Caenorhabditis elegans: one gene and its partner. The protein of the gene in region 2 interacts with the protein of the main gene of each other region in a pairwise test. Each region holds a gene or a part of one and is shown on either strand. Other genes may lie near its edges.

Region 1 (17,921 bases), on a different chromosome or scaffold from region 2:
TGAAGATACCTCTAAATGCCTACAATACTTACAAAATATGAAATAGTTTTTGTTTCTTTTCAAAATGCATAATCTCATTTATAAAAATGATTTATAAAACACAATTTACGGACTTTAATCCAAAATCGTATGTTTTCCATTGAAAAAGATAATATCTTCCGAATCTGGTTCTCGATCCTCGTAATTCTCTATTTACCCAACTCTTCTCTACACACAAATCACTGGATTATAGACTAAAAACCTAAAAATGCTCGAAATAGAAAACTTCTGCAGTTTGAATCTTAAAATTGTTCTAAAAGTGAATACGAATTTCATAAATCTCAATTATCAATTATCAGAAACAAATATTCAGAAAATAATTGGAAAACCTTTAATAATTTTCAATTATTACTTCTAATGGTCGTTTCAGAATGTTATTTTTAAAAATCGATTTCTTTTCACTGAGATCAAATTTACTTTTGGATCCATTTTTTACGAATGCATAATAAACATATTGTTATTACATCCAAAAATTTCCATAAAAAGCTCTCAGCTGACCAGCACGTGACGCATCTCGATGGAACAGAAATCAAACTGTTTATATGTTTGTTTGCTTCTCTTTTCTCTATCATCTGCTTTCAAGTATTCTTTCATTCGACACGTTCTCCCCCCGTTGTCGCTTTAATTCATGCTCGTTTTTTGTTGGGTGTGATTAGATGAGTAGTGTCTGGGCCTGACATAGAAAACAAGACCTTTGACTTGCCTTGAGTTCTGATACGATACCTGGTCTCAACGCGACCAAAAAATTTCAGCGCAAACAAGAGAGTGCGCCTTTAAAAAGTACGGTAGTTCTCCACGTCCAGTTTTTCCCAATTTCATAGATTTTACACTTTAAATCTTTTTCGCAACTAGGTAATATCGTTTTTTAAGAATAAAAACATCTACAGTAGGAAATCAAACAGAACCTTTTTTATCTGACTTACCTCAACTTTCTTTCTATCGTACAATGTTGGGTAGGCTTCCAACTCATCGAGCACCTTCAATTTCTTCTCGCAAACTTCATACATTTCTCCTTCAATGTTCTGAAAAAATTTGGATTAATTATTTACAAAATAGTTGTTTCAGTAGTCAAACTGGGCAAAATGACGATCGACACAACAAATGAGAGCGACAATAGTCCAACTAACTCACCAGGATTGGAGGTGGGATTTTTGAAAACAATTCTTTAACAAAATTAAATTTATTTAATTAAAATTCAATTAAACAAACTACAATTTTTACTTTCAAGGCCTCGGCTCGGACATTCTCGCTCAATGCGTCAAAAATGGTTCGGATAACCGACGACTACGCAGATGAAGTGTTCATTGAACAGAATGATGTCGTTATCGAGAAGCCTCGTATGGATCCTCTCCACGTTAGAAAACTTATGGAGACATGGCGCAAGGCTGCTCGCCGAGCAAGAACAAACTATATAGATCCATGGGATGAGTTCAACATCCACGAGTATCCAGTACAACGAGCTAAACGATATAGGTATTCTGCAATCAGAAAGCAATGGACAGAGGATATAGTCGATGTGAGACTTCATCCGGACAGTTTTGCACGTGGAGCCATGCGAGAATGCTACCGACTCAAAAAGTGCTCCAAGCACGGAACAAGTCAAGATTGGAGCAGCAACTATGTCGCAAAAAGATACATTTGTCAAGTCGATCGTAGAGTTCTTTTCGATGATGTCAGACTTCAGATGGATGCCAAATTATGGGCTGAAGAATATAATCGGTATAATCCACCGAAGAAAATTGATATTGTTCAAATGTGTGTCATTGAGATGATTGATGTAAAAGGTTCTCCACTCTATCATTTGGAGCATTTCATCGAGGGAAAATATATAAAATACAATTCAAACTCAGGATTTGTATCAAATGCAGCTCGTCTTACACCACAAGCATTTTCTCACTTCACCTTCGAACGTTCTGGTCATCAAATGATGGTTGTCGATATTCAAGGAGTTGGTGATCTTTACACAGATCCTCAGATTCATACAGTTGTGGGAACTGATTATGGAGATGGAAACCTCGGAACTCGTGGAATGGCTCTTTTCTTCCATTCACACAGATGTAACGATATTTGTGAGACAATGGATCTATCAAATTTCGAACTTTCGCCACCTGAAATCGAGGCTACCGAAGTTGCGATGGAAGTAGCTGCAAAGCAGAAAAAGTCATGCATAGTTCCTCCAACTGTGTTCGAAGCAAGAAGAAATCGAATTTCAAGTGAATGTGTACATGTCGAGCATGGTATTTCGATGGATCAATTGAGAAAAAGGAAGACGTTGAATCAATCGTCAACCGATTTGTCAGCAAAGGTGAAAGAAACATTTAAAAAAGTTCTAACGTATTCTATTTTTATATTTTTCAGAGTCACAACGAAGACTGTGTATGTCCTGAGTGTATTCCAGTTGTTGAGCAACTCTGTGAGCCTTGCTCCGAAGATGAAGAGGACGAAGAAGAAGACTATCCAAGAAGTGAAAAAAGTGGAAATAGTCAGAAAAGTCGACGTAGTAGAATGAGCATTTCAACGAGATCTTCTGGCGATGAATCAGCATCTCGTCCTAGAAAATGCGGATTTGTAGATTTAAACTCACTTCGTCAGAGACATGATAGCTTCAGAAGTTCTGTTGGGACATATTCTATGAATAGTTCTAGACAAACCAGAGACACTGAAAAGGATGAATTCTGGAAGGTTCTTCGAAAACAATCAGTTCCAGCAAACATTCTATCACTTCAACTTCAACAAATGGCTGCTAACCTGGAAAATGATGAAGACGTACCACAAGTCACCGGGCATCAGTTCTCTGTCCTCGGTCAGATTCATATTGATCTCTCACGATATCATGAGCTCGGGCGGTTCGTAGAAGTTGATTCAGAACATAAGGAAATGCTTGAGGGAAGTGAAAATGACGCTCGTGTACCAATCAAATACGACAAGCAGTCTGCAATTTTCCATTTGGATATCGCTCGGAAGTGTGGAATCCTTGAGGCTGTGCTAACATCGGCTCATATTGTTCTCGGATTACCACATGAATTGTTGAAAGAAGTCACCGTTGATGATCTGTTTCCTAATGGGTTTGGAGAACAGGAAAATGGAATTCGAGGTGAGCTTTTTTTGTTAATTTTTCTCTTTTAAATCTGAAATTCCAACTTTTCAGCTGATAAAGGACAAAAACCTTGTGGTAAGAATCAAGTTTTCTCGTGTGTGCTTTTTAAAAATTATTTTGTGATTTCCCAATTTAACCTTTCGTGTTGTTTCCTTTTTTGAAAGATTCAATCCTAGTGTTCTCAGCATCCCGTATTTTATCAAAATTCAAAAATTTTCAGACCTAGAAGAGTTCGGCTCCGATCTGATGGAAATTGCTGCAGAGATGGGTGATAAGGGTGCAATGCTGTACATGGCACACGCTTATGAAACTGGTCAGCATCTCGGACCGAATCGAAGAACGGATTATAAGAAATCGATTGATTGGTAAGAAATTTATGAGATTCTAGTGAAGATACAGTAACCCGACTTTATAGAGAATACTTTTAAGAAACCTAAAAAAGCTAAAATGTTTGATGCTATAGCTTCTAATTTTTTTTAATTGAAAATTTTTTCGAATAGCCGGAAAATTGAAAATCGAAAAAAAAGATTTAGAATGTAATTAACAGATTTGAAATTTCATCAAACTTTGTTTGTTTCGATGGAAATTTTTTTTCTTCTAAATAAAAATTTCAATTTACGAAAAAAAAAATCAAAAAACGAAGATTTTCGATTTTTTGAAATTTGAATTTTTGAACATTTAGGAAATTTGGAAATTGAAATTGAAATTTTTTAATCGAAAATTTTTTAAAATTCGAATAGAAGTACCCGTCTCTGATTCATTTTTTATAAGAAAAATTGTGAAAAACCAGAAAAACTAGGAACCTTCAAAAAATATGTTCAGAAAAAACTAAATCTACTTGTTGTATTTTTCAAAAAGAAAATCATATATGACCTATTTGCGATTTTTATTCTGGACTTCTTGGATGATTTTGTTCCTTAACATTTTTTCTATAAACTTGAGAAATATTCTAAATTTTGTAGGTATCAACGCGTCGTTGGATTCCAAGAAGAAGAAGAACTTGACTCTGATTGTGGAAAAACGACATTCTCCTCATTTGCTCCACTGACTCGTCACGAGATTCTAGCCAAAATGGCTGAAATGTACAAAGAGGGAGGTTATGGCCTGAATCAAGACTTCGAACGAGCATATGGTCTATTCAATGAAGCTGCTGAAGCAGCAATGGAAGCAATGAATGGAAAGCTCGCAAATAAATACTATGAAAAAGCGGAAATGTGTGGAGAATGATTCTTGAATTCCCCTTTCTTCAATCCTCAATGTATATCCTTTTTTCTGGTATAATGTACATTATTGTTTGTTTTTTTTTTCATATTAGTTAGTATCCCCATCCCCTACAATTTTTAGTTTCCCCCTGTCACAGTCCCCGGATTCAAGGAAAGAAAAAAATTTCAAAGATTTTGAATACCAAAAAAATTTCGGATCTAAACAAGTTTTTGGCATTTATACTCCCTTTAAACCGTGCGCATAATCATTTTTCTGTTTCTTTCTTTAAAATTTCCTTATTCATCTTTGTTTCCCTGCCAAAGCTGATTCCGTTCTCGTTCTTTTTTTTTAATTACTTGTCAATATGCTTCAAAGTACGTCGGTTTAAATAAACTTCAGGTTGTAAAACTCACATTTCCATTCCCAGCATCATCAAGCAAAAATGGAATGTTATATTTGGTTCCAACTACCAATGGGAACTTTTCCACTGTAGTTCCAGATGAGATGAATCTGAAAGAAGTAATGCATCACATTTGACACTCAAAATTCTTCAGTACTCCCGAACTTACCGATATTCTCCGTCAGTTTCTGACAGAACCTTGTAGTTTGGCTCTCCTGTTTTCAGGGTTCCATACACGAAAACCTTGAATTTTTCGCCCATTTTTGCTGGAAATGAATTAATAAATTACAGATTTTTTCATTATTTTAAGTTAATAAAAAAACATTTAAAAAAAATCTGTATTCATCAATCATTCGATATGTATATTTACACAATATGCCTTTCGGAAAAAAGAAGAAAAATACGCGTTTTTGTCTTGCCACGAAAGATTATTGATTGAAAAATGGCAAAAGGGTGTGGAAAAATCAATAAACTGAATGAGCACAAAATGGGGTTATCTCTTATCGGGATGGGGAAAAACTGAAGAAAAAAAAGGAAAATCGGTTCATAAATGGCCATAAAGTTTCTTATCACATTCCATCAAAAGCTTGTGCTCGTTGTCGTGGAGTTCCTCGCATACTCTGAAATTATAAGAAAATTATAATTGGAAAATGAGAAGAATAATCAATCAATACCACACTAATGTTCATTTCAAAATTTGAAAAATCACAACAAAATACACCGACGGACAGGTTTGTGAAATTCAAAGATATAGTTTCACTAAAAAATGTGTGATTTTTTGAATCAATTAATAAAATTAATAAAGTCTTAGCGCGAGCGAAACTTTTCAGATACCGTACCCTGGGTTTTGCTTTTTCTTGTTTCTTTCTATTTTTAAAAATTTTTCGAGTTTTTGTTGTGAAAATCTTATTTTCCCTGAATAGGTTTACTACAAAAACATAAAAACTCAAGAAAAAGAATTTCCAAATAAACGATGGAACGTCTACTATTGGATACTGTAGCGGAAAAAATAATCTCGTGTCAGTACCCGACGTAACGATTGCGCTCTAAGAAATATTTTTCGCGCTGCGTTCATTGTTGCGATTCCTGATTTTTAAATTTTAAGTCAAAAAAAAACAATTACAGTGTGCATATTATTGAATTTATTCATAGAGCGCTTGAACCATGAATGTTTATTTTCAACTCTAACAAAAATACCAATCAACAAGTGTTAGAAAACAATAATTGGAAAATTAGTCAATATGCAAACACGCTCTACCACACAACAATCAAACTCTGGCACTATTTTCTCACTATATTCAAATGTCAGCTTCCTGCCATTCAGTGTTTCCCAAATCATAAGACTGCTGTCTATGCAGCATCATGACGTGGCTCAGAATACTTGACGAGCTCGTAGTGGATACTGTAGAGACACGTGGAATCCCTCGTCCCGCCACATGTCTAGCGACAGTATTGAGCTCCAAGGAATCGGAGGAACCCGATGAGCCAATTGAGCTTGCGCTTTTTGATTTTTTCTGGAGATATTCCGAAGTTAAGCGTCAAACTTACAAATGCCAAACGCGCGAAATTTTAATAAATTAGAAGCTTAACATATAATAGAATAGGATGAAAAAGAGATTTAATAACTTTTTGAACTTTTGACCTTCTGATCATGAGATCAGCTTAGTAACCGTTCAGAACGGTAGCATGCTAACAGAACTTGCTAAATTATCTACTTACCATTCTCATCGTCGTGAACTTATCAAAACCGTGTGCCACATTTTGTGCATGAACCGCATCATGCTCTCGATGCTGCCCATTTTGTACATTACCGTCTCGTTTCAGGCCGTCAATATCGCCACGTAATTCTTCCAGGTGCTCCTTGAAGATTCGCGCTCGTGTTTCGTATTCTGACCTGAAAAAATTTCTAATGTCACATACTATTCTCTATTAGGATTGTACCTCCATTGCTCAACTCTGCTAGCATATAATTCAGTTATCCTTTTTTTTTAATTACCAAACTAACCTTGATTTTTCCAACTCCATCAGAGTAGTCTGTTGCTCGAAAATCTGACTAATTGAAGGATCGGGTGGTGGAATAATCATACCAGATCCTCCGTAATATGGCGGTTGATTCTGATTTTGAACTTGAGTTTGTTGTTGATGAGCTTGAGTATTTTGAGACATTTGTTGTGGTTGTTGATGAGAAAGTGGTTGATTTGAAGGAATTGGGGAGGAAAATGCAGATGATGGCATATTCAGACTTCGAGACATCATTTGTTGAGGATGAGTGTGTGCTGAAAATGTTGTTTCCGTATAAATATAATCATATTTTTCTTATTTCTTATTTCTAACAAGACGTGGATTGGTCAAAAACAGTAGCAACTTGGCTTGCGATTTCATTCCCAAATTGGCATTACAAACAATAAATTAGTTTACAACTAGACACATTCTCATTTGAAGATCTTGAATTTATAATATCATTACCAAAATATTTTTTAGTGTTCTCTTTTTTGAGGCAACTTTGCAAATACCTGGCTGTGAGAAAATGTTGAAGTTACATAATCAAAAAAAAATTCGATAAACTGATTAGGGGGTCGGTTTTTATTATGTGATCTAGACTTTTTTGACTCGGCAAACTTTTATTCTTAACTTTTAAACATAGTTTTACGCCCATTGCCAAAATTATCATGCAAAAGTTGCTATAGATATTATACTTCTATACTATTTTGGAATAGACTTTTTTATTGTGCCTTTAAAAAAACTAACTGTCAAGTGATTGCAGTTGATGAAATGATCCTGTTGATGGCATACCAGGATGACCTGATTGATGACCAGATACTTGTTGATGCCAATTCTGAAAGTTTCTAAACCGTATTAATCGAGTATATCCTCTATCAATCCCATTACGGTTTTGTCAAGATTTACTCAAAATGGGAAGATTTTCCATTAACTTACCGGATCAATAATCAACGCAGACTGACTCGAATACTGTGTCATTTTCCGATTCGCGTCAAGGCTTACATCTGCTAGTGACATTGACATCTGCTTTGCCAAAATCTCAGCTTCCCGAGCTTTTCGTTCCATTCTCAACAGAGCTTCTTCGGACTGAAAATTAAACTTTAATTTCATAATTAATTTGATTTTTTACCTTCATATTATTCATACTTAATCGATTACATTCAGCTTCAACTTCACTTTTTTGCTTGTACAACATCAAAGTTTCATGTTCACTGTGTCGTGCCTTCTCTGCTAATTGATCATTCGCTTCTTCTGCCTTTCGTATATTTTCTTGAGCTTTCATTAATTCCAAAGTCATCACTTCAACTTTTTGTTTCATTTCCTTATATTCTTTTTCCATTTGCTGCCTCTCTTTTCGTTCCAATGCAACTTTTGCTTGTTCTGCTGCTCGACGTTGCTTGTCTTCTTTTGCTTGTGATCTCATTTGTTGAACCTGAAATATACAGTTATCATTTCGTAGAAAACTGAATAGAAATTTTCAAGTTGCCCTACTATAAAAGACACATACCTCTAACGTGTCTGGCTGCCTCCTCCTTAAATACAAATTGTGTGTTCCAATGCAAAGATCCAATATTGAAGAATCAATTGATGTCTCTCGTGATCGAAATGATATTGTGGATTTGTCGACGGTTTTCATGTGAAACTGAACGTACAATGGAAATCGTGAAAAGAAAATTTTAAAAAAATTACCTTTCGATTCTTAAATTGAATATTCTTAATCTCACTCCAACTAAAAAACGGCCGAGGTGTTATTCGATTCACTCCCTTATAGATTCCCAACCCTTGAGCGGATATACCAAGATGTAAGTCAGTTTCTTTGTTATTCTGAAAATAAATAAAATTATGTATCTCAAATTCAAATGTCCACAACCGTTCAAACAGAATCTCTCAAATAACTTACACAAATAGGATAATATAATATTCCATACATCTCCAAATCCTGTGCAACTCTCAAATACTCAAGTTCAGCTTCTTCTCTTGATTGTCCTGCATTCCGTGACCACCATCGTTTTATTCGATCTCTCCACATATCAGCACTCATATCATATTGATCAATCACACTTTTTGGTAAATGCTTGTCAAGATCAATTGGACCAACTTCTTCTGTACAGTCGCCATGCTGAAAATTAATTCGTTTTTACTAGATTTTGAATAAAGTGTATATAGATAGTTTTTCAGAAACATTTTCAGGCACTTGAAAATGTTTTGCCAATTTTTCTGGAAGAAAATGGGATTTTCAAATACTCTTCAAATATCCTTTCTGAAAATTTTAGATTTTCAAAATTTTACAGCAAAAGTTTTGGTAAATTTCGATATTGTAATTCTCAATTTTTCAGAAATATATTAAAAATTTTATGAGTGATTTTAAACACTTTCTCAACTGACGATCTTTTAAAAGTTCAATAAAGGAATTTAAATGGCATTTTCATATTTTGTAAAACCCAGTTAAAATACAAAAATCTTACCATTGCTTGAACTGCAAAACTGGCCAATAAAACACTTGCTTCAGGTGAACAATATAGATTCATTGAAAGTATTGCTTCTCGTATTTGTAAAAAGAACAAATGTCTAGTGGCATCTAGAATAATCTCAGGTTCCACGTCTTCTGGATAGAATTTGACAAGAAATAAGAAATTAAAAGTTCCATCAGATGTGTCTTTTTGGATGTCTTGGCCACAGATCTGGAAAATTTCAAAAATTAATTATTTTCAGAGAAATTATTTTTCCCAAAATATTTTAATTTGATAATTAGAATTTGGTTTTATTGTTGGAAATACCGTATCCCCAAAAATGTATTCAACAAAAACTCACAGTTTTATCATTCTGTAACCAACATGGAATATTCTTTTTATTTGTGAACTGTAGTCCAAAATACCAAGTTTCCCGTAATCCAATAATTCGACAAACTGCTTCAAATAAATGTCTTCCTGTCCATGTTTTCTCAATTACAATCTTCTCCAAATCAGCATCCATTGTGCTCACTTTTGCGTAAATGGGCTTCGTGTTTCGCGAAAATATCGAAAATCCACCCATTGCTATTTTTTGGAATTTTTGTAGGTGAAATTAGCCTGGAAGTTTAAGAAAAAAATAATACTAGCAACTATTATTCATTTCTGAAAAAAGACCGTTGTCTGCACATGAACGTATTGCACGTATTTTCTTTCCGTCAAGTAAGAACAACATCCAAAAATTCAGATACTAAAATTGCTTTTTTAGTTTCTTTGAAAATAAAAATTTCAGATAGTTTCAGTTTGAGGCAATTAGAAAATAACGTGGATTCCAATATTTCCGTTTAAAACTTCGGAAAGTTAGAAAAGTTCTATAGTCTCCGAAGTACTGAATTGGTTTCTCTAGGGTGAAAAATCAATAATGAGATGAAGCCCATCTTAAAAAAAGTATGTTAAATAGTTAAGAAAAGTGAAGAAAATCAATGTAAGTACGCCCCAGGGCAAATAGTGTTGTAACTGTATAGGTATCTGCGTCGAGGAACTCTATGCCAACTGTCTGTCTCACAAGAAGTGTTAGAACATATGAGAGGAAGGAGAGGCATTGGAACTAACAACAAGAGAAGATGATTGGAAGAGAGGACGAAACAATATTTCAACACTCATAATGATGATAGGTATGGAATCCCAGGTGCATTCATTGAAGAATAACTGATAAAAATATTGAAGAACAATGATTCAATGCCCCCAACTGATATGACGCATTGTGAAAATATGTGGCCTGGTCTCGTGTGAACAAGAATTTTCAGTTTTTCGATAAATAAAATAATGTCAACACGCCCTTTCCTCCTCCATCGTTTTTCTCCAAATGGTTTCGATACAAAAGTTACATCGACTGACGAGATTCAAAAAGATTCGCAGTCAGCAGGATTCGAACCTACGCGGACAGAGCCCATTTGATTTCGAGTCAAACTCCTTAACCACTCGGACATTCTTAACCACTCGGACATGACTGCACGTTTTGGTTTATTATCAAGTATATTTTCATTTTGTACAATTTCGAAGTTACAACGAAAAAAATGTGCGAAAAAATTGAAAAAAATTTAACGCAGTCAGCAGGATTCGAACCTACGCGGGCAGAGCCCAATTGATTTCTAGTCAATCTCCTTAACCACTCGGACATGACTGCACGACGAACCACAACTTTCGTGGCCTAGACATGCCGGGTGTTACGCATAATAGGAGGAGGGGATGGGGAGAAGTGGTCAATGGGGGGAGATGAAAGGGGGAATAGGGACAGTATAGAAAAATTCACACAATCGGTATTTTTCGATTGACTTATTATTATATTTTCAAAAGAGACATCAGTGTGAAGTGGGGCGCACTTGTGTAAGCAAAATGGCCAACAAAAATTCGAAAACTTCAGTAACTTTTCGATTAACCTCCCTATTCCTTTGAAGTCATATAATTTTCGAATGAAGTTTAAGTACATTTTTTCCATATTGAAAATTCAAAAATTCCAGAAAGATGAAATCCAGAAAAATGTTTCGAAAGTACAGTGTACTGATAGTGAGCTACAGTACAATTTTCGTAAGTACGCTCGATGGAACCTACTTTCCCTTAAATTTACAGTAACGCATTAAAGTTCTGCAAAGTTTCATAACCAATCTGCCAAAAAACTTCCTCATAACATAATTTGTTGTTTCCCATCTTTCCACTTTGCTCTTCGTACTCTGTGCCTGCTCCCACTGTCTGGCTCCCAACACTTCCTGCCGGGAGCCTCGGGAAATCCCTTCTTCCCTCTCTCTCTCTCTATCCTTCTCTCCCAGAGCTCCGAAAAAATAGGCGGAGCCAGAGCACACACTTATGCTCTCGCTCTCTGTGCAAGAGCCACCTCACTCAATTTTTGTGCTACTTCGAGAGTGTCGATGCCTCATTTGTTAATTGTTTGTTATTTGATGATGATAATGAATTGTTGTATCGATATTTAATTGCACTCTGCGTGGGTGTTATCACTTAAATATTAGAGTTTTTCTGGAAAAAAGGAGTAAACTTAAGAATTTTGGAGATTTTGAGGGAAAAACAAACATGTGAAAAGCGGAAGAAAATAGAGATATACATAGACTTTTAAAAGTGCTTTGTTTCCTTGTTATATTTCTGATTTTTTTTTTCAAAAATTTGGACTCAAAAAAATTAAAATATTTTCAGTGTCGTTTAATCTCTTATTTATACCTCGTCATGTCTACTCTCATCGACCCTACCATTACGGAATCATCGGATGCCCAGCATACTGTACTTTTGCCTGAGGACTACGTCAAGAAGTTCGATCCTGATGAGTATTTGCAGTTTTATTTCAGCAGGTTAGTCAGAAATCTTTGATATGTCGCAACGACCGTTCGATGTAACCCATGAGATGTCGGCCTCCCACCAATGAACACTTTCTGAGCCCCTTATCATGTAGGCTGCTTCAACAAACATGTCAAGCTACCATTTTCCAGAAATTGGTTATGAAACCCGTAAAATGTCGGTTGCCGCAATTTTTTAATGTTTTGAATCCAGTATTATGTCGGTTGTTATAATCTTGCGCGCGAGGTTGCCGCCACAAAACTTGGAAGAAACATTTTTCATAAATAACGGGCTTCAATTTCTAGAACTTTCGATCCCGATTTGCACTTTCTATCCGCTCTCGATACCGTTCACTTCATTTTTGACACAAAAACGAGTGGTTTGTTCACAAACAAAACCTCTTATCCCCGGCTTGCTTTGGCTTTGCTCCTGTTGCTGCTGCACACGAAATCGGTCGCAGATCGGTTACCTTTTTCTCTTTTTGAGTAGGAGAGGATCTTTTGTGTCAAGAGATCGAAAAAACTGAGAAAAGAGGAGGGAGGCATCATTGGCTCTTAGACTCTAAACTTTTGAAAATGAGACGACACATTTTTGGGTGCTATCAAGTCAAGTACCTGTCTGACAAGGAACGAACAATCCAAGGGAGAGAGTATAAACATCAGACATTCCATATATATCCAAAATTTCATTTCTCATTTCCAGAGATGCTATTGAAGATGGAACCCGTGTTTCCCTATTCGCACTTCCTGTCTTCGCCCAACTTATGCTCCAAACTATGCGACCTTCTGAACGTGAAACTCTTCTGGATATTGGAGCAGGACCAACCGTCTATTCGGCTCTTTGTTTCCGTGATGTGGCAAAGCGTGTTCACTTATCAGATTTTGTCGATCGGAACCTTGACGTTCTGAGAAAATGGATCCGCCACGAGGAGACTATTGACTGGGTGCCAACTATCAAAGTGATCAACCGAACGGAAGGAGGTCCCACTCCAACAGATCAAGTATGCATTGATGTTGAAGAAAAAGCCCGCGGATTGGTCAAGTCTGGTGGAATTCATTTCGCAGATGTTCACCAGATGGATGTGGTCCCTGAATTGGCTGGGAAGAAGGTGGATATCCTGGTGTCGATCTTCACGTTAGAAAGTGCTTGTCGCAACTATGAAGAGTATTGTAAATGTGTCACTAATATGGTAAGTCTAAATGGATTTTTGCGGTTTAGGCTTAGGCTTAAGCATATCGTTCGTTTTAGGAGCTTGATTATGCCATTAAGGTTATTTTACACGTCTCTTCTAAAATAGTTTCTGAAATCCCAGTACTGAAGATAGATCTTGGTTCACATTTCTTTTTCTCCATTTCTAAGTTCAAAACACGAATTTCTTTCGAATAGAGAACAATAAAATTGTAAACTACAGTAAACTACTAGCTCAAAGAGTTATTGTAAGTGTAATTCGATCTATTTTATTCTCCAGTAACAACTTCGTCATAACTTTCTTTTCATATTCCTATATCTCTTCACAATCAGTGTTCACTTCCCCTTTACACCCGTTCTCTATTTCTCTGTCTATCTTATATCCAATTTTCACGGTGCCAACGAAGAAAATGAAAAAAAAAAGAGTTTAGAAACAGATGTCTTTCATCTTTTCCAAGATGTAAAGTGTGTCGTTTTTCGGAAAAAAAAGAAATGAGAATGAGCCAACGACTGAATGGCACCAGATTTGATAGTTTGAAATGAGAAAAAGTGAAATCAAAATGTGTTTTGATTTTGTGTGATTCCAGATGAGACATCTCCGTTCCGGCGGTCGTTTTGTGCTTGGTTCGGTGCTCGAGGACGATGAGTACAACTCGGGAAGAAAGGTAGGAAAGGGCCAATTGATCTGGTAATTTGATCTGTGCTCTTGCGATTTTAACGGGGTCAGTTTGTGTGATTGCGTCAATGATGCAGGTATATATGATAGCTAGAGAAGTTTTATTGGTTTTAGGCGATGGGAATGAGGATTGAAGGATACAAATTCAGACTTGTGATAGAACATATCTTTTTGAAACAGTGCTAGTATTTTTTTTTTCTGAAATATTAGACGTTTAAGCGATACATTAACTTCGAAAACGGAGCAGTGGGGCCGCAAGACTAACATGTTACTGTACTTAAAATTAAAGGAAAAACCGATAAACCGTTTTCTCGAGGATGTTTCTTGTTTTTCTTTTTACTTCCTCTTACTTTTACCCGCTCTTAGCATATTTCCAAACTTTGTACAAAATTTAAAAAAAAAACATATGATTGTTTTTTCGCGCGGCGAGACCCAACTGTATAAATAGACCTGCATTAAAATTCGTAGCCAAAATACTCGTATGTATATGCCAACAAAAAAAATCAAAATTTACAGACAATCTTCCATCTCCTCAATCTCAGTGAACAGATGATTCTTGATGCTCTTGTATCTGTTGGTCTTGATGTTGCCAATGCAAAGAAATACGTTTTGGACGGAGAAGGTGTCATGTTCATAATGGCTACGAAGCTCTAAACTTGTTGTTTAATTAGATTCCCCACTCGATCATTTGTCAGTATTGATGAAGTCACTAGGCGTATATCAACAAAAAAGTACTGTACTCGGCTTTAGGTCTCTTTCACTTCTTTTTTTAATTGTGCACTATATTCTTTTCATATGTTTCGCTTTTTAATTGTAAAATGGTCAGAATTCATCCGTCCTCTGCATGTTGTATTTCGAGCTTACTGGTTTGCTTAATATTGATATAATAATAATAATAAATCTGTAGAAATTGAGAACTGAATTAAAAGTGGAGCATCAGTAGAAAAACGTTTGAAATCATCCAAAACCGAGGTAAGTGCTTAAATATAATAAAAGTGTGTTTCATATTCATCAATTTCAATTTCAAACTTTCTGAGTTCCATCATCGCTGGGCGGAGAACGATCGAGTCCCAACAATAGATCATCTCGATTTGGAGATGCAGGAGATCTAGAAGAAGGACGTGGCTTTTTGGAAAATGAAACATCTGATTCTTCTGATTCTTCACGACGACGCTATAAAAATTTCATTTAGTTATATTTTTTGATGGAATATTTAGATTACCGCTTTCAGTAAAACCCTTTTCACTTCATGAGCTGAGTTTCCAAGTTCTAGCAAATTGAACGCCGATGATATCATTTTCAGATTGGGTGGTGCGTACATTGAGATGTAGTTGCAAAATTGATTCAGGATCTCAAAAATATTTTTTAGGAACAATTAATCCAGAGAATCTGAATTAGGTGCCTTCAACCAAATCCAAAGAATACATACACTCTCGTTTCTCTGCAGTAACCGTTATTCCTCACCTGTGTCAATGTATGAAGCCTGTTAATCTCTTGAACGTCATTCTTGAATTTTTCAAACATTTCCAGCAACTGCTTCACTTCATCGTAACTAAATCCAATTTGCATTAGATCAAACTGTCGTTCCGCAGGAAATCTCATCAACTCCTCTTCGGACGCTAGTGGAGCCAGCATTTCAATGTGATTCTTCCGCTTAAATTATTTATTGAAAATTAAAAGATTTGATAATTAAACCAGTATAACATCGACGTAGGCATATAATACCTTCCTTGTGCCTACCTACTGCTACACTACAAGACCTACTTATTTGTTATTATCTCAGTTGGTTTACATCTAAAGGTTTACATCTACATCTAAAGTTATCATCTAAAGTGGCCTCAAAATGCAGAAAATGTGTAATAGTCAGGTAGGTCAGGTAGACTTGTTATGATAATATGGGCACGGGCCTACCTACTACGACAATCTCATAAAAACTTACTGTGTGATTGTTCAATAAACTGCTAAGAGTTGTTGGGGTCACCACAAAATTTTGGCTCTCTGAAGTCGTTGAAAGAGAGCTCTGAGAATCGAATCCCGGTTGAAACGACAGAGGTGTGCTGGGCTCGAATTTCTGGAAAATTGCAATCTTACTATTAGTCAAAAATATTGGAAAATTGAATTTAAAAAATATCCTACATTTATATTTGATTTCAAACGATTTTTCAAAGATGCCCTTTGTATATCGGCTGCCCGACATATCCTATCAAAGAATAGCTCTTTGTGTGGTCCAAGCAATGTAGAGAGTCTTAAAATTACCAAGTTTATATAAGAATACCAAAAAAGTAAAAATAGATTGCCCCAAACCAGGATCGAACTGGTGACCTTACGATCTTCAGTCGTACGCTCTCCCAACTGCACAGGTAAAGCGCCAAGTGCGAGCGGCGGCCCACCGGTGGACCGCATATAGGCGAGGGGGGACCGCATATAGGCGAGGGGGGACCGCATATAGGCGAGGGGGGAACCGCCGACACACGAACAGCGCGCACACCGGTGGGCCGCCGTTCGCATGTTAGCGGCTCGCTAATGGGTGAGCGATGGGTGAGCGATGGGTGAAGGCTATCGTTTCCATTCCCCTCCTTTTGCTTTTCAGTGAAGAATAATATTCATAAAACGAGTATATTATAGTATTATCGTTTATTTTAAATCGAAAAAAAAACAAAATAATTTATTTCATCTTTTGATGATTTCGATGAATCGTCCTCTGGTGTCATCGGCAATTGACTCGTTTCCGCTTTTCTTCCTTTTGTCTTCCTCCAGTAAGCGATTTTATCGATCCATTTTCTGAAAAATTCAAATGATTAATTTTAAAGAAGTTTAATAAAGAAGATTAATCATTATTACATTACATTATACATTTTCGCTCGTTAGAAACAAGTATCGATATTTGAAAATAAAATATTACCTTCGCTTTCCAGATTCCTTCGGCTCTCGTTTGCGGTCGTCGGAGCTTTTCTCGTTCGGAGTCGGTGCCGGCGACACTCCTGTAAAAATTATCATGCTTTAGAGTTAGTTTGACGATTTTTCTTTCGGGAGAATACATTTTAAAACTTTAAAACTCACTTTAACAGCTCATAATCGTGTCCCTCGCTGCAGGATTCCTCGTCGAAGCCGGCGAAGTTGCGTCGGGACGAAATATCTGAATTCGAAGATTATTTCTCGCTTTTTTTCGTGACAAAAATTTATATTTTTCGAATAAGAAACCAATTATAATTAGTTAACAGAAGAATAGACGCAGAGTTTCTCAATATTTCTGAAAATACCTGATTTTTGGCATCTTTTTCCTATTCCGTCGTTTTGAAGGATCCTTTTCGTTGATTTTCTCGATTTTTATCTGCAAATTATAAAAATGTGAAAAAGAAAAATATGTTGCTCACAAAATCACGCAAAATTAGCGGTAATCGTGAAAAAAAACGAGAAAAATTGCAAAAAAAGCAAAAAAAAATTGAATAAAATTTTCGCTAAAGAGGGCGCGCTAGGGTTATTTCGGAGTGTCGTTGCTATGAAACTCATAATGAGAGTAAGCGTTGAATTGAAATGATTTATTGGTGTTAAAAAACGCATTGAAACGCTGAAAAATAGATCGAATAGTACTAAGTAAGATATTTCCGTTTCAACTTTAAGAGTTTCGAATGAAATTTCGATAAAAATTCTAAATATGACCCTCTTCATCCAATTTGATAAATCATTACTTTGATCATAAGGGTCCCCCCTTATGATGAAAATTGTTGAAAAAAAATTGTTGAAAAAAAAAGTTTTTGGAAACTTTTTATAATATGATTAGATGCTATAGAAAAATGCAATGTTTGTAATTATTTCTAGTTTGTATGTTCTGAACACGATTTCGGAAGAAGACCTGAGGTGTAGTAGAACAACTAAGTTCAAAAAACGCGTTCACTTTGGATGCGTATATCTCCGTGGAAAAATTTTTGATGGCAAAGTGATCAACTACAAAGTTGTTCATCTTAATCTGAAGTACAACTTTGTAGTTTATTGTTTCTTGTCAAAAAAATTGTTGATTGAGACAGG
Region 2 (15,317 bases):
AAATTTTGCATTTAATGCAGTGAAAATTCAAAAAATTCAAAGATTTTTCTGAATAGATCAAATTTTCAAATTTTCCGGTCATTCGAAATGGCCTAATTTGCTCCAAAAATTTGAATAATCCCGTCATTTTTTCTTTGAATAGTAAAAAAAAGATTTTCTAAAAATTGCCTAAATGTTTGCCACACTTTCAGTCCATTTTATTCACAGATTTTTACAACTCTACTAGTCTCCTCCACCCATCACCACTTTCTCCCCAAAAATGTTTACATGGTTCTTATGCACTTGAATTGTAACTATTTTTTCTAATAAAGAAAAGTTTATAACAAATAAATTAAAGAATTCAAAGAGAACAGGAAATATATAATTGAGAAGTTCAGGGGATTTAAATCTCACTAACGACTGGAAACAAAAAGTAGATGGGGAGATGGACGACAAGTAAATCGGAAGACATGATTCCCGTAACAATAGTTTTGCTTTAATATATTAAAAAAATCAAGTAAATTCTACTTTGTCTTTTTATCTTCTTTTGCATGCTCTGAATTTGGTTCTGATTCATGCTCGGGCTCCTGGGAAGGTTCAGAAGATCCTTCTACGGCCGGCGTCGGCGCCGGTGCTCCAGTTTCCTTCTCGAGGCTTGTGCCGAACTCGTTCAGTCGAGTTGGATCAATGCGATACGCCCAGCGTTGGTAGAGGTAGATCTGGAAATTTTAATATTATTTTTTAATTAAAGTTATTTTGGTATTATGGGGACGCAGAAAAATGAGATTTTTGAAATCGATGTGCACGCGCGCTCCACAGCAATAGATTAGTTGGTAATTTGGCAGCAAATCCGTGAATTCAAACGTTTTCAATTAGTTTCACCGATTTTCAAGAATTTTTCGTTCTTTTTGGCGAAATTGTGGTTTTGAAATAAAATTCCAAACGAGACCCAATACTTTGGGGAGGAGCGTTTTTAAAAGTGCAATTTTCTGCGTCCTCATAATCTATTCGACATTTTCTCACCAGGAAAATGATATCATCTCTGAAGCAACCAATTCTGTAGAGCAACGGCATCCGGATCACAAACGCGAACAAATCATCAATAAACGTATTGATGAATTTGTAAGTGAGCATACGCCACGGCAGATGAGCCACTGATTTGAGCTTGTAGTTAATGAACAGCTGAGGTGTCATGGTAATGAATCCGAACGTGAGCAAGAATCCATAGAGCATATTGAGTACCCAGGAGTACCATCCTTTTTGCTCAACGTAGATTACAGAATAGATGGCATATCCGACAAGAAGTGGGAAAAGTGCCCATCCGAGGTATTTGAATGCCATTTGATCGTAGATCTTCGTCTCACTCTCTACATATGATCCTTTATCACTGATAACCAAACGTGGAATCACTCCGAACCATTTGTTCTGCCAGTCGATGGATACATTCATCACCTTCGGAATCTTCCAGCATTCAATGAGCAAACCAATTCCAACTGTAACTTTCACCATTGTATTTGTCTCATTATCACAAATATAAAGGAAAACAATCAGTGATTGGAAGATGTTGAAAAGCACAGATCGAACTGATAATCCGACGAGATCTTTTCGATTATTCCAAAATTGAATGTCATTCTTGAAAGCCAAAAACTCGAATACGGTATGTAGAAGTGAAACAATCATAGTAACTGCCAAAAGGATTGGATTAGTCTCTAGAAGTGCTTGTTTCATAGAATCATGGCCATCATCATCCATATCTGCACCATCCATAGATAACATTGATTGCCATTGAGACTGCATCCGCTGACTTGCGTACATTTGATATTTGAACACTGACATTGGATAGTAGGTAATTGTCAAGTTAAGATCTTTGACAGTTTCATTGATCGGTTGATAATCTGCTCCGAGATTCCACCAATTGTTATAGAATAAAATAGGCTTGTAGATGGTTCCGTCTTCATTAAATTCAATATCTTCACTAAGTGGTGGTGGAATTTGGCCACGAGCCCATGGAGTTTGATCAACGACTAAAGAGATTGAGATGTTTGGATGCCAGTGATTGAGAACCTGCAAAAATTGACAATAATTCCAAAATTTTCGATATTTGTTTAGATTTTTCACCTCATATTTCATAATCTGAGCTTTGGCAAGATCCTCATCACTCTGCTCACTCTCACCAGTCAACAAGTTTGAAGTTTTTCGATAATACTTCTTCTTGTACTTGTTCAGCTGATATGATTTATAGATGATCTGAAATATATATTTTTGAAATTTATTTTAATCTTGAACTAATCTTCTTTTTCTTCTTGATAATGTTGGTTTTTAAATTTTTCACAAAAAAAATTGTGTTTTTAGATTTTCCAAAGAATCGAAAATTGGTTTTTTTTTTCGAATTTTCGATATTCTAAAAAAAATTTAAAAATTTCAATAATTTCCGGTAATTTCTCTACTTTCCAAACATTTTTTTCCAAAAAATTCCCAAAACAAACAGAGACTGTTTGAGTTAAAAATTCCAAATTTTCAATAATTTCTATGTTTAAAAAAAATTATTTTTTCACATAAAATTCAACATATTTTTGAAAAATCTATAGAATCCTCGTGTCGGGTTTTCAAAACAATCGGAAAATCCAAAAATTTCAATGTTTTTTTTGTATTTTTTCGAATTTTCGTTTTTTGAGAAAAAAAACAATTTTTTCAAAAATTTCCGGCTAGTTTTTCTTTTTTTTTAACTGAAAGTCTACCTACATATTTTCCACAAAAAAAGTTTACAGTTTTTTTTATGTTTAATTTTTTTTAATATTTAATGATTTTTTCGGTTTCCAGTTTTTGGAAACGAATTCAAAAATTAATTGTTATATTTTTTACATAAAAATTAGCATATTTTTGATAAATCTATACAATTCTCGTACAATTTTTTTAATTAATCTAAATAATTTTTTTTTTCCAAATTTTCCAGTTTTATGTTGAATTTTTAAATTTTAGATTTAAAAAAATGAAAAATTTTAGTTTTTTTACCTGATTCTTGAAATAATTCCGATCCTTGGGATTCGGTGATTGGCCAGCTTTAACGATGAACGTGTGAAGCCAGAGGGAATCATTACGGAGCAATGCAGCAGGAGTTGGGAAGTTTTTGTGAATTGTGTGACTGCCGTCCTAGAAAATACGAAGTTAAATTAATTAAATCTAGAGAATTATCAAACTTCATTATCACCACTAATCCAATCATCATACTTCATTCCATTTCGCATCCAAATCAACTTTTCTGGTGCTGAATCGAATTGTCTGAATGGGAGATCCTGAAATTGTTGGAAATTCCGATATTTTCAACTTTTTCTCCAAGTCAACTAACACTATCATCCATGTAAACGTATAAATCAAAAATCTGATGATTTGGGAACATATTCATCGCTTTATTTCCATTTCCAGCAGTAGATGCTGTCACATTTCCATCATTTCCAGGCGACGACGATGGCCGGAAGAATCCCTTCAATTTTTTTGAATTCATTTTTCAAATTAAGATGTCCAGATCAACTTACAGAAACCATGGAAACTACGAAATAAATGGTGATTGCTTGCTTGATCATTCCCCAAATTCCGCCACCTTGCTGTGGTTCCGGAGCTGCTTCGGGAGCAGCTGCTGGTGCAACTGCGTCGGCCATTCTGTGAAGATTATGAGAGTGGTTAGAAAGTGGAAAAGTTGCAAAAGCAAAAAGTGGTGAAAATAAATTGAAAAGATAGTGGTTAGTGCGGTTAGAAACACTTAAATATTTTTTCCAAACGGATTTCAAAAAAATAGAAATTTATTAGATTATTTTAGATATTTTTACAGAATTTTCAGTTATTATACAGTTATTTCAATCATAATACAGAATATTTTACAGGAATTTGAAAGAAAAATACATAGAAAGAGATCATTAACGTGGTAGTGGCAGTCCGTGCGATTGTTTGTAGTTTACATAATCCTGAAAATTAGAGAAATTGTATATAAAAAATATTTTGAATTATTTCGGACAATTTGTGCATTTAATTTTTGATAGAAAACACGAATAATCATGAGAAAAATCGAAAAATTGCATAAAATCCAGAAAAAATTAATTTACTCATTATCCGAGAGGAGTACATGGCCGATAATTATTTCTCGGCCGTGTACTCCTCTCGGGCAATTAATGAATTAATTTTTTTGGATTTTAGGCAATTTTTCGTGTTTTCTCATGATTTTGCTTGATTTTTCGAATTTTTTTGTTTTCGAACAAATATAACATTGCGTTTTACATTAAATAGCAGACCAATAACGCTTTAAAACCGTCATAACTTCTGTTATTTTGATGAAAACTATCGAAAATACGAAAATATGTTTAAATTTTTTAATTTCTAATAGAAAAACACAAATACTATCATGAGGAAATGCAAAATCGCTTAAAATCCAGAACAATTAATTAATTAATTGACCGAGAGGAGTACACGCCGGATAATTATATTCACCTTATAATCCAGAACAAGTTTGGAGCTTTGGAAGCGAACAATTCGAAGTGCTGACCGAAGAGCATCATTAATATGTCCTCCGTATCCACTTTTTCTTATTAAATGATCAATTGTCTCCACATGATTCCATCCTTGTTCTTGAGCTACTTCCGGCAAGAAAACGGCACTCCGATTGCGATGACCATCGTCGAAATTCATTCGAACTCCATGACGACCGATTGTCCAGTCACGAAAATTATGAATTGGCTCGAAGTTTATTAGAAGAGAAACCTACAAACTTTCATTTAAATGCAATTTAAAAGTGAAAATACTCACTCCGCACTGCAAACTTGGAACTTCTTCCCGGCTAATTGGCTTGAATCGTGAATCATGGAAAGCGCTGGTCTTCGCATATTCGTTTAACCCCTCACCCAATCTGTAATAAATTGGATTGTTGAATAATGTTTTAAATAGTGAAAAACTCTACCTTAAATCAGAGAAAGTTCCAATGCATCCGCGTAAATCGTGTTGATGTCCCTTCTTCCATGTGACAAATAGTGGTCTGGAAAAAACGAATTTTTATTTGAGAATTGATTAAACTTCGATTTTTGATTCGTACTATTTAGAGGTGGTCGGTCGGCAATTATTTTCTGCAGTTCTCATTTGTTTTATCAGAAATTAATGTTAAAATATAGAAATTAACTTGATTCATTAACGAAATAACGGGGATTTTTCTGAAATCTTGCTTACAATTTTACATTAGGGATCTCTTTTGGCACGGGAGGTTCCTTCTCTCGATTCAATTGGGCGTTGATGACGTCAAAGCAGTAAACTGCCATTTGGATGTTAGCGGACGTCATCTGGAAGTATATTTGAAAATTTTTAAATATAAATTAAATTTATAAAAATATTTTTCAGGAATTCAACGGACCAATTGACCGATTATTGATATTTGAAAATAGGTTAATTTTGAAGTTTCTTTAATCAATATTAAAACAAAAACAACAGAAAAAGATCAACAGCAACACCAATAACAATGTAACAAATAGGGAAAAGCAAGAATAAAATTAAAAAATCTATTTTTCGCTATCAACAATCTCCTTGGCAACAAATTCGTACATTTGTTTATTGATTTCCTTGAGCTTCTCATTTTCAGCTTTCAAAGCATCAAATTTCTTCTGAAGCGAGGAATTGACTTCTTCTTCGTCATCAATAACAATCGGTTCTACTTGTTTCTTCTCAATAACTGCTGCTTCAAAATCATTTTTCTTTTGATTCTTCCTATTCTTTTTATTCTTTTTTCCACTTTTTCTTCTCTGATTTCCAACTTCTGGTGCATCATCTTCATCATCTCCAAGAGTAATGATATTTTTAATTGTATTTTCTGCTGCTTTTTCTGCTTTTGCAGCTTCATTTCTAGCAGGTCCTTCGGCGTCCCATTGTAATTGTGCAGATGATTTGCTTCCAGATTCCAACAAAAGTTGATCAATAGTTTCTTCAATGACGTCATTCCAATGCTTCTGATCAGAGTTAAATTCAGTGGATACTTCAATTGCGAAACGATCGCATTTTGTAGGTTCTCGTTTCAAATCCCAAACTGGACGAAATTTGGCGACGTGTTCTCCTCCGCTGATCGTTTTCCAGAATGGAATGAAACGGAGGGTATTGATTACTGAGCGCATTGTTGATACCTGGAACAAATTAATTTTACGGGGTTTTTATGCACAAAATTATAGAATAAAATCTCAATAAACATCAGGGACAATTATTTTCAGCAATCCTGCAAAATGGTCTATGCACCATGTTCTTCCAACATTTTTCATTAAAAATGGGTGTCAAAATATAGAAAATCACTTGATTAAAAAATAAATTTCAGTGAAAAAATTCGAGAAAGTGTCCATAAATTGTCTAAAATTTGCAAATAGCTTTAAAATTTTCAGCACTTTTCCGAATTTTTCCGCTTAAAAAGCTGTTATTTTCAGATAAATCAAGTGGTTTTCTATATTTTGACACTAATTTTCAATTAAAAAAAAACATATTACTTCTTTTTTTTTATTTACACAAACCTTGAGACATTGATGACTACTTATTTCCCAAATACAATATTTTCCAGAAGCATCACCGGACGCCAAAAGTGTTCCATCTGTATTGATAGCTAGCCTTGAAATCTCATCAGAATGTCCATTGAGAACTCGGAATTTCGTGTTATGCTCGTCACCAGCTTGAACTAGGAGATCACGTTCTTCGGGTGCCAACTGGAATAAATTGATTTGAGCAATATTTCCAACTTCAGTTCCGATAAAAATTCGAGTCTCGGCGGGATCGATGGCGCAGGCTGTTAACGGGCGGTCTGACGATGCTTTCAGAATTACTGAATCCATAGAAATTGAATGAAGACATGCAATATGGTCGGCTCCAGCTGATAAAACTCGTGGATTCGATCCATTTGTGATTTTGAGATCAGAAATTGACAAAGTATGAGAAGCCCATTTTCTGAATGGAGCAACTGTGTGATCACGATCGGCAGATACAAGATCAGTAACAAGATAACCGTGTACAGCTCCGTCTTTTGAAGCAGTAAAAATCATGGAATCGTCATCGGATATTACAATTTTCGTGATATTTTGATAGTGCGCATCGATCACTGATAGCAATTCTCCAGTAGACAGAAGCCAGCAATAAAGTTGTCTTTTGATGCTCATGAACACAAAATGACCGGAATTATCACTGACGATTGCGGAAACCGGGCCAGGAAGAACACATTTTTGATGAAATCTATCTTTTGGGTGTACAGCAAGTACGTGGACGAGTGGTCGCTCCTTTGTTGTAATCACGACGTGTTCACCGTCATGACCTGAAAATTAAATCAATTTTCTAATTTAGCGAGACTAAATTAATTTTACCCAGCGGTTCAACAAGTCCAGTTGATGCTCCTTGTAATTCTGATCCCTTATAACTCCATGACGAAACACCGGTTCTCGGATCAATAATAATTGTAGAATGTGGATCAGGACTGCCACTGCTCACCAGAAGCATCTGAAATTGTTAATTTACAATTTTTATTGATTTTCACTCGCTCACAAGGGTGTCAATGTCCCGTAAAAATTACAAAAATGGGAAAACGGGAATTCCCGTTCCCGTGAAAATTTTAAAAACGGGAAAACGGGAATTCCCGTTCCCGTGAAAATTTTAAAAACGGGAAAACGGGAATTCCCGTTCCCGTGAAAATTTTAAAAACGGGAATTCCCGTTCCCGTGAAAATTTTAAAAACGGGAATTCCCGTTCCCGTGAAAATTTTAAAAACGGGAATTCCCGTTCCCGTGAAAATTTTAAAAACGGGAATTCCCGTTCCCGTGAAAATTTTAAAAACGGGAATTCCCGTTCCCGTGAAAACACCCCAAAAACGGGACAACGGGAAAAACGGGAAACGGGAATTGACACCCTTGCTCGCTAACAAACCTCCAGTGGCTGTGTGCCCGCAATGCGGCTTGTATCGACACCCAGATAAGCCATACCAAAAGTAGCTGAAATATAGAAAAACTTTAGATTTTATAACAAAAGTTATTTAAAAGTTTTAAAAGGGGAGAAAAAGAAAAAAATGATGAGAAAAAAAGCTTGGACAACTTGCGCGTAGAATTTGGCGCCTAGTCCGCAGTCTAAGTCATCGGTGTTTGCAGACGTAGGATTTACGAGACAAAAAAAACATGTTTTTAATCGAAGTTTTCGATTTAATAAGAAATATCAAATTTTCACTAGAATTTTATATTTTTGATCGGTTTACATTATTTTTTTGTACACACATGAGGCGTAGCTTGCGATTCCACAACTTTTTACTCATAAAATTTGAAAAAACGGCTAATTTCCGTTTCGTGAAAGGTAGCAGATAAAATCAATAGTATCAAACTCTTATATGCATTGTATGTTCTTTTCATGTGATGTAAAAAATCATTTAAATATATTATTCACAGTTTATTCTCCATTCGAAACCATTATCATTCTTTCCGAACTTCGTGAAGCATTTCTATAAAAAATAAATATAACATTAGAATTTCAGAGCAGAACAGAAGAAAGGGATATTAATTTACTACAAGAGAGAAAGTGGGAGACAAAGAAAATAAGTTATGAAGAAGAAAGGACAGGAAGAACGTGGGGGAAAATGGTATCGAGAAGAGATAGAGCGTGAACTCCATATAAAAATTAAAGTGATTTCGGGATTCCGTTAATTAAGAAAAATTTTGTTGGGAAATTTGGGAGAAGAAGGAAACCAAAACCAGGCCCGTGTGTGTGTATTCTCCAGCAACGAGATAGGCGGGGAAGGATTTTTGTGACAAACCGGAAAAATCGAAAAAAGTTAGCTTTCACCAACATTTTCGACATTTTCAGCACAAGAGATCGTACAACAATTGAGTGGGACGGTTGGGGGTACACGGGCTTCTTTCTGTGGGGTTCTCGGGAGTTAAGTCAAGCTAGATGTTTTGCAAGACTGGTTTGGGATGGGTTTGGCTATTCCAAACCGTGATGAAGACAAACTACAAAAACTACTTCATTTTTTTGGGGTTTTTTCCTAATCTTATTCTGAGTATTCTGAGCCTAGAGGGCCTAATATGACAGACAAAACCATGATTTTAAAGGTGACTTCTGAATGGTAAACCAAAGTTTAGCCGTCAATTCTACTAAACGAAAAGAAACTGGGGGCCGATGTTGGAATTAGGCGTTAGAAACTAAAAGCAAAATGTACAACAAATGGAGGAGAATCAGAGAAAAAGTTGGGAGACTGGATGTCAAACACGCTTTGCAAACGATCCTCGGGATGGATGGAAGGTAATAAAAGGAGAACTGCCGAGAGAAAAATCTCCTACAGTACTCTTTTCACAAATCAACAATTTTCCGACTAAAAGGCGGGTATGTACACCGATAGGGAGCAGTGCTCGGAGAGCTCTCGACTTTCAGAATTGAAAACTTTTTCAGGAATTTCAGGATCTGAGAATCAAAAGAGCTCAACTAGTCACTGGGAAACTCGACATTATCTCTGATTTTGTACACGTGTTTTACAGGTCTTAGAGGGTGGGGAGTATGTGGAAAAAGGGTGCAACGTGGTTGCAAGAAAAATTTTCAGCAGTGGCAACTAGAAAAATCTTGAAAACTGCTGAAAATCTAATGTGAATGATTGTCAGATCTTAGAAAAAAGTATGTGGTGATGATGTTACAGGGGATTCGGGAGTAGGCAAAGAAGATGATAAAAAGATGATAAATACAAAAAAAATAACAGAAATTGATGTCAATGCAAAGAATAAAAAACTCTTCAGATCAACAACAAATCGGGTCAACAATGAGTGGATGGGAAAACAGCGTATTTCCAGCATTCTGTTTAAATTTGGGGATCTCGTAGTAACAACAACACCAGCAATGCATTTTAGAGTTGAGGGGGCGGATGGGCATTTGTACACGCAAATTAGGTCGCAGTTGGTCACAAATTCAGCGCATTTCCAGCACGAAAATGTGATCAACCCCGTACTGTACACGTTTCTAAGTCAAAGAGTAAAAATGAAAAAGAAAACAAGAAGAGATGGTGCAGATCAACGCTTGCTATTTACAATGTAGAGCAATTGATGGTGGATTGGTGGTTTTCAAAAATGTTGAAAATAAAAAACTAATACTAAAATCTAGATGATTTTTTCCAACATTTTCGAACACACAAAACGAAATATTCGTGTGAAATGAGAACAAGAGTGCATTTGATTGCAAGAGAAATAAAATGACAAAACTACATACAAGGGGATTTTTAAAAACAGAAAAAAAAAGTGGCGATCTTAGATAGAGTTCGAGAGGTTTGGTGAGAGGTTGTGTGTTAAATGAGAAGGAGGAGCAACGACGAAGATTTGGTTTAGACGTTGACCTGAGTCTCGATGCGATGGATGGGATTCGCATTCTGAAATTAAAATAGTTTAGTTCAAAATTATTACAGATTCTGACGAAACAAACCTCCTGCTCGTCCTCAAACGACTTCAATGATGCGTCGTCTTCGGTGGTGTGACGAGGCGTCATTTGAACTGAAGTAAGCAATGCTCCAGTACCGAACAGTTGAATAGATGGCATATCGACAAACACCATTGGTGGAGAACAGATCGAATCGTCTCCGTTTGATGATGCTGGAGAGAAGAGCGAAAAGGTTCCCGAATCGTCGGCAGATCTTCTTTTGACCGGTGAATCAGTAAGATCTTCGCTCAAATTGAGCATCGATGGAGGTGGAGTTGTAGGAGAAGCACGACTGATTGGCGGTGTGAACTCTCCACTTCGTGATTTTTCGATGGCAATTCCAACAGATTTCTTTCGTGGGAAAGTGCCAAAAGGTTCGCCACCCATGGATAGGAAGGATCCGTCACCACTGAAAAGAATTTTAAATTAGAACTAAAGATTTAAAAATAATAAACTAACTGAATAGTAGCAGTTCCCAAGTCACTTCCACACTCGCTCATCGTCATTTTATTGTCGAATCTCGCCGAAAGACGAGTGTCCGCAAGTCGGTTCATCAGATTAAAGTGCTCGGACATTTGTTGAACATCACGTGCCGAATCCTTGCGGTTAATGAGATTGGATGGAGTTTGGAGAATCGTAGAAGCGGCGGATTGTTGGAGCCAGCGATGAGAGAGAATTTGATCAGCGTTGAATCTTTAAAAAAATTAGAAATTAAGTATTTTATTTCTGAGTAAAATTAAAAAATTTATAAAATGTTTCAAGTCTCACAATCTCCGCGTCCTCTAAAGACAGCGAAGTATTAGTAATCATCAAATTTACTTTCTCCTCCATTTCCAGGCTCCACAGTCAATGAACAAACTGAGTGCAGGATAAGAAGGAATTGAACCAACGATTGGTTGAGTGGGAATAGCGCACGCAACCGACTGCGCCACAAGTGTCAATCGAATTCGATTGGCAAAGGGGTTAACAAAAGAGACGGTTACTAACCTGTCCACTGGATCACGTTTGAGCAGATTCGAGACCAAATCCTTGGCCTCCTCGGAGATCATACCCCACTCTTCTTCTGGAAACTCGTAGTAACCATCTTGGATGCGATGAAACAAGTCTTGTTGGCAGTCCTCGCATGGTTTACCCTCGGACCACCTGGAAAAGCGAATTTCAAGATAAACATGAAAAAATAAATACTTACCCGCAATCCTCATCATCACACATTCCTTGGAATGGAGCATATCCAGCCAACATGATGTAGAGGATTACTCCTAAACTCCATGTATCACACTTCTTGTCGTACTTCAGAGAATCTCCAACATAAGCGTCGACGACTTCCGGAGCCATAAACTCGGCCGATCCAACTGGAGAAGCAAGATCGGGTTCCGAAGCCACCTGGCTCAACGGATGACGTTCGTGTTGTGGTGGACGTTGACTCGCCAAATCGAGATCGCAAAGTTTGACGGGCGACACGTGGTTCGGATCAGTGCACAGCACATTCTCCGGTTTAACGTCACGATGAGCTATTCCACGATCGTGCATAAACTTCAGAGCCAACGAAATGTCCTTGGTGACACGACGAGCCTCCTCCTCGGTGAAATATTTACGTTGAAGAATGTGCTGAAGGAGTGGCCCACCGCGCATCTTCTCCATAACCAGATAGAAGTTGGTCTCATCCTCAAACCAGTCAAGAAGTTGAACAATATTCGGATGATCCTTGCACGTCTTGAAGATGTTCACCTCGCGGAGGATACGCTTTCGAGAATGCGTTTCTCCTTGCTTATCAACAATCTTCACAGCATACTCGACACCTGACTTGATCGACTTGCACGTGGTCACCGATCCGTAGGCTCCGGAGCCCAAGTGCTCATCCGTTAACTTGTAGTAGTCTGAAATTTTTGACATTTTAATAAATTAGTTGAGAATTTTTCAAAGCCAGATATTTTTAGTTACTAAGTTAACCTAAATTACCTTCAATACGTCTCCTGATTCTTCTAATGCGCGGAATTCCCCTATTGAATTTACCACCGATTGCCATTTTCTAATACTACGTTGATTAATTTGATGCAAAGTGTTGCAAAATGAGGAAATATAAGTTTTGGAAAACGTGAAATGATGCAAAAACAATTTGCATCATTAGCATCATTTCTAAGAATTTTCTAGAATTTTCCAGAAACTTCGAAAAAGTTCGAAAAATAAATAATTTCTATTTCTCCTATTTCTCATTTCCGTTTCAATGAACCGTCTTATTAGGCCCGTAAAACGACGGCTACCGTACCTTCAAAAAGACTAGTTCATTCACATTTTGGTTTGGTTCCGTTCATTGCTTCAACGTCAATTATATGTCTTTCTTCGTTTGTCCCCCCGTCTCTATACACCGCCAAAACAACTACCACTAAAATGTAAAACTAAATACCCCCCACCACCACCATTACTGTGTAGTAGTAAATCAATCAAATGTCTAATCTACGTGCCGTCATCTCACATTCATCAATTTGCTTCCGGTATCAAATTTTCACATGAGAATCACTAGAAAGCATCGTCTAATTGTGATGAATATCAACTAAAATTAGGATCAAAATAATTTTCATTTTTCTCTCTCTCTATCTAGAAGAACCAAACCAATACAGATGTTTTTGGCAAGAGGGGACATCCGTTGCTTAGTCAAAACCAAATCAAGCTGTTCAAACAAACAAGCAGGAATTGAATAAGACGGTATCTCTAACAGTCGTAGGAAAACAAACAAAACCCTCACCAAAGAATCCACACTTGGACGAGTTCTTCCTTCCCGGGGTTCGCGGCACCCGACGAGTTCCTCCCCCGAGCGGCAACAACTCAGCCACCGGCTCCTCTTCATCAAAGTAATCTTCGTCGGTCTCATCTTCTCCATAGCCGTCTTCTCTTCTCATCACCACATCCTCGTCATCCATCTCAAACTCTCCGAACACGTGGTCGGTGTCACGTCCGACGTAACGCGGAATCGGTCGGCCGGATGATTCGTCAGACGACGACAACACATCCTCATCTTCGTACGTCTCGCGTTCACGTTGACGGTGTCGACGCAAGTTTGCCATCATCTTGCCGCCACCGGCGCCAATTTCGATACCACCACGTGGCGACGTCGCCTCCTCGTCGTCGTAGAACTCGGAGGTGGCCACGTGTCGTGGAGTAGCAGCAGAAGTGTGCAGATGGTGGAAAGCAGCACCGCCGCCGCCGACGGCCGAATCTGCAAAAAAATAAATAGATTGTATGTTTTGTGTACAGTTTTTGTATTTGTGCATGGCTGCTACAAAAAAAGATAAATAAAAATAAATCCTATTTGGATGGACAACAGATTTAATATTTCATAGATTAACATTTTCACATAGATGATTTGAAAATATTTTTAGCATCGCTTCCCACATCCATTTTACTCACAACCTCCCTCCGCTCATCACATATGGATTCAACAAGAGGTGAGGGCAATGGCAATTCCGGAGATTACGGAGTATATGTCACAAGACCAGTCAGCCGGGTGGGCGACGGGTGGTCTTATGGTGCATCGGTGGGAGACTATCTGCTGATGCAAACCCGCTGTCTCTCTCTCTCTCTCTCTCTCTCTCTCTATTCGTGACAAACAATAAACAGAAAAAGTAGGAGGTGGCTGTGTTGCGGTGAATATTTAAATTTTGAATGTGCATTTGAGATCAAATAATGCCAAGAAAATATGGAAAATCGAGGGTGCCATAACAAAGGAAACCCCAGCCATCTGGCACCTTCCGAATGTACACTGGGGGCCTAATGGGTATGTTTTGTATCAATTGCAATTGACACACGACTGAATTATTTGAAATCAGCTGCCAAAAAAAAAGAACTACAGTAATACTAAGTAATATTGCTTCAGCCACCAACTCATGACATTCCAATCAGGGTAATCAAAAATAAGCGATTAAAAAAAAAGATAACAATGCCATCTGAATGATCAGACCAGTTGGCTCCGTTTTTGATTTTAGAGTTATTTAGAGCTCTGATTGGCTATTTCAAATGATAAAAGTTGGTCGATGACTTTTCGATGAAAAAAAAAACAAAACAAGGACATTATATATGATTTGGAAGCAGAAAAAGAGGTCAGGAATGATAAGAAATTAGAGAAAACTCACTGTTTGGGATATTATCAACTTGTCCGAGATGATTCAGATTTAGCTGATTAATATTAACATTATGATGACGGCCGAAATGAACGACTGGAGACTGTGGATACCCGGCATGAAGGATAGTCATATTGTGTTGAATGAATGGTAGAATGGTTGACACCAAGCAAAAATGTTCCGATCGATGGAACACTAGGTGGGAGAGATCGAAAAAGAAGTGTTTAAGACGAGATCAAAGAGAGAAAGCTTCGAAACAAGCTTCTCTGTTTCAGATCGTCAGCTCTTCCAACTTCTTCAGCTTCTTCCACACGCTCACAGACAGAGACACAAGCACAGAACAACGCACACGCTACTGTGAGGAGGTAAGGGCGAGAGAACCGGAGGCGGAGACACGATACCACGAGGGATGGGCTTGAGTCTCTGCGTCTCCTGCCTAACTATTCCTGGTCGTCGGCGCTCTGACCCAAATGTTCGAGCGCTTTCTTTCGACGGCGGGGGGCCCCTACAGCCAGTGGAATAGGACGACTGTGAACGAGAGAGAGAGAGAGAGAGAGAGAAAAGGGCGACGAGATAGTCAAAGACATATACAATTGTGAAGGAGACGATCTATATTTTGCTTTTCCGTCAACATTTTCCAATGACTTTGAAATGGAGAAGATGGGGATTTGGAAAAAATCTTATTTACAGTAATCTTCCGGCTTCCAGATTCATATATTCCCATTTCCCCTGATTATTTGAAACTTCCGTGCTACTTCAAAAAAGTTCTTATCTCATGGAAACAACAAT

What was found.
Region 1: the proteins of pro-1 (region 2) and nfm-1 interact in a two-hybrid assay, tested with the Caenorhabditis elegans proteins (one large-scale study listed by BioGRID).

What each region holds. Positions count from the first base shown.
Region 1 is NC_003281.10:6,151,731-6,169,651, reverse strand, and holds nfm-1 (FERM domain-containing protein), read right to left. Parts: upstream 10,164-17,921; 5' UTR 9,774-10,163; coding exon 9,552-9,773; intron 9,422-9,551; coding exon 9,206-9,421; intron 8,860-9,205; coding exon 8,641-8,859; intron 8,565-8,640; coding exon 8,430-8,564; intron 8,383-8,429; coding exon 8,248-8,382; intron 8,173-8,247; coding exon 7,870-8,172; intron 7,827-7,869; coding exon 7,677-7,826; intron 7,576-7,676; coding exon 7,488-7,575; intron 7,016-7,487; coding exon 6,745-7,015; intron 6,634-6,744; coding exon 6,459-6,633; coding exon of another isoform or gene 6,447-6,458; exon of another isoform or gene 6,254-6,446; coding exon 6,038-6,253; 3' UTR 6,033-6,037; exon of another isoform or gene 6,026-6,032; intron 5,360-6,025; coding exon of another isoform or gene 5,309-5,359; 3' UTR 5,067-5,308; downstream 1-5,066. Other genes in the region: efk-1 (Eukaryotic elongation factor 2 kinase), read left to right, coding at 1,122-1,181, 1,268-2,344, 2,398-3,133, 3,188-3,211, 3,357-3,501, 4,099-4,363; F42A10.9 (Gamma-glutamylcyclotransferase family protein), read right to left, coding at 963-1,061, 4,753-4,849, 4,909-5,000; anmt-2 (Nicotinamide N-methyltransferase), read left to right, coding at 11,924-12,045, 12,734-13,220, 13,807-13,884, 14,412-14,549; rotr-1 (Nbl1_Borealin_N domain-containing protein), read right to left, coding at 14,919-15,068, 15,118-15,246, 15,360-15,548, 15,835-15,966, 16,032-16,140.
Region 2 is NC_003280.10:10,534,036-10,549,352, forward strand, and holds pro-1 (Pre-rRNA-processing protein pro-1), read right to left. Parts: upstream 7,962-15,317; 5' UTR 7,951-7,961; coding exon 7,897-7,950; intron 7,474-7,896; coding exon 7,341-7,473; intron 7,292-7,340; coding exon 6,504-7,291; intron 6,129-6,503; coding exon 5,514-6,128; 3' UTR 5,403-5,513; downstream 1-5,402. Other genes in the region: R166.2 (Cleft lip and palate transmembrane protein 1 homolog), read right to left, coding at 504-698, 1,003-2,043, 2,098-2,226, 2,992-3,129, 3,177-3,272, 3,326-3,460, 3,513-3,635; R166.3 (AMMECR1 domain-containing protein), read right to left, coding at 3,891-3,938, 4,459-4,728, 4,774-4,873, 4,925-4,999, 5,188-5,297; MAP kinase-interacting serine/threonine-protein kinase mnk-1, read right to left, coding at 10,322-10,366, 10,420-10,822, 10,873-11,106, 11,401-11,556, 11,603-12,290, 13,157-13,627. UniProt on the Caenorhabditis elegans protein: Component of the PELP1 complex involved in the nucleolar steps of 28S rRNA maturation and the subsequent nucleoplasmic transit of the pre-60S ribosomal subunit. Required for processing ITS2 sequences from rRNA intermediates during 26S rRNA maturation.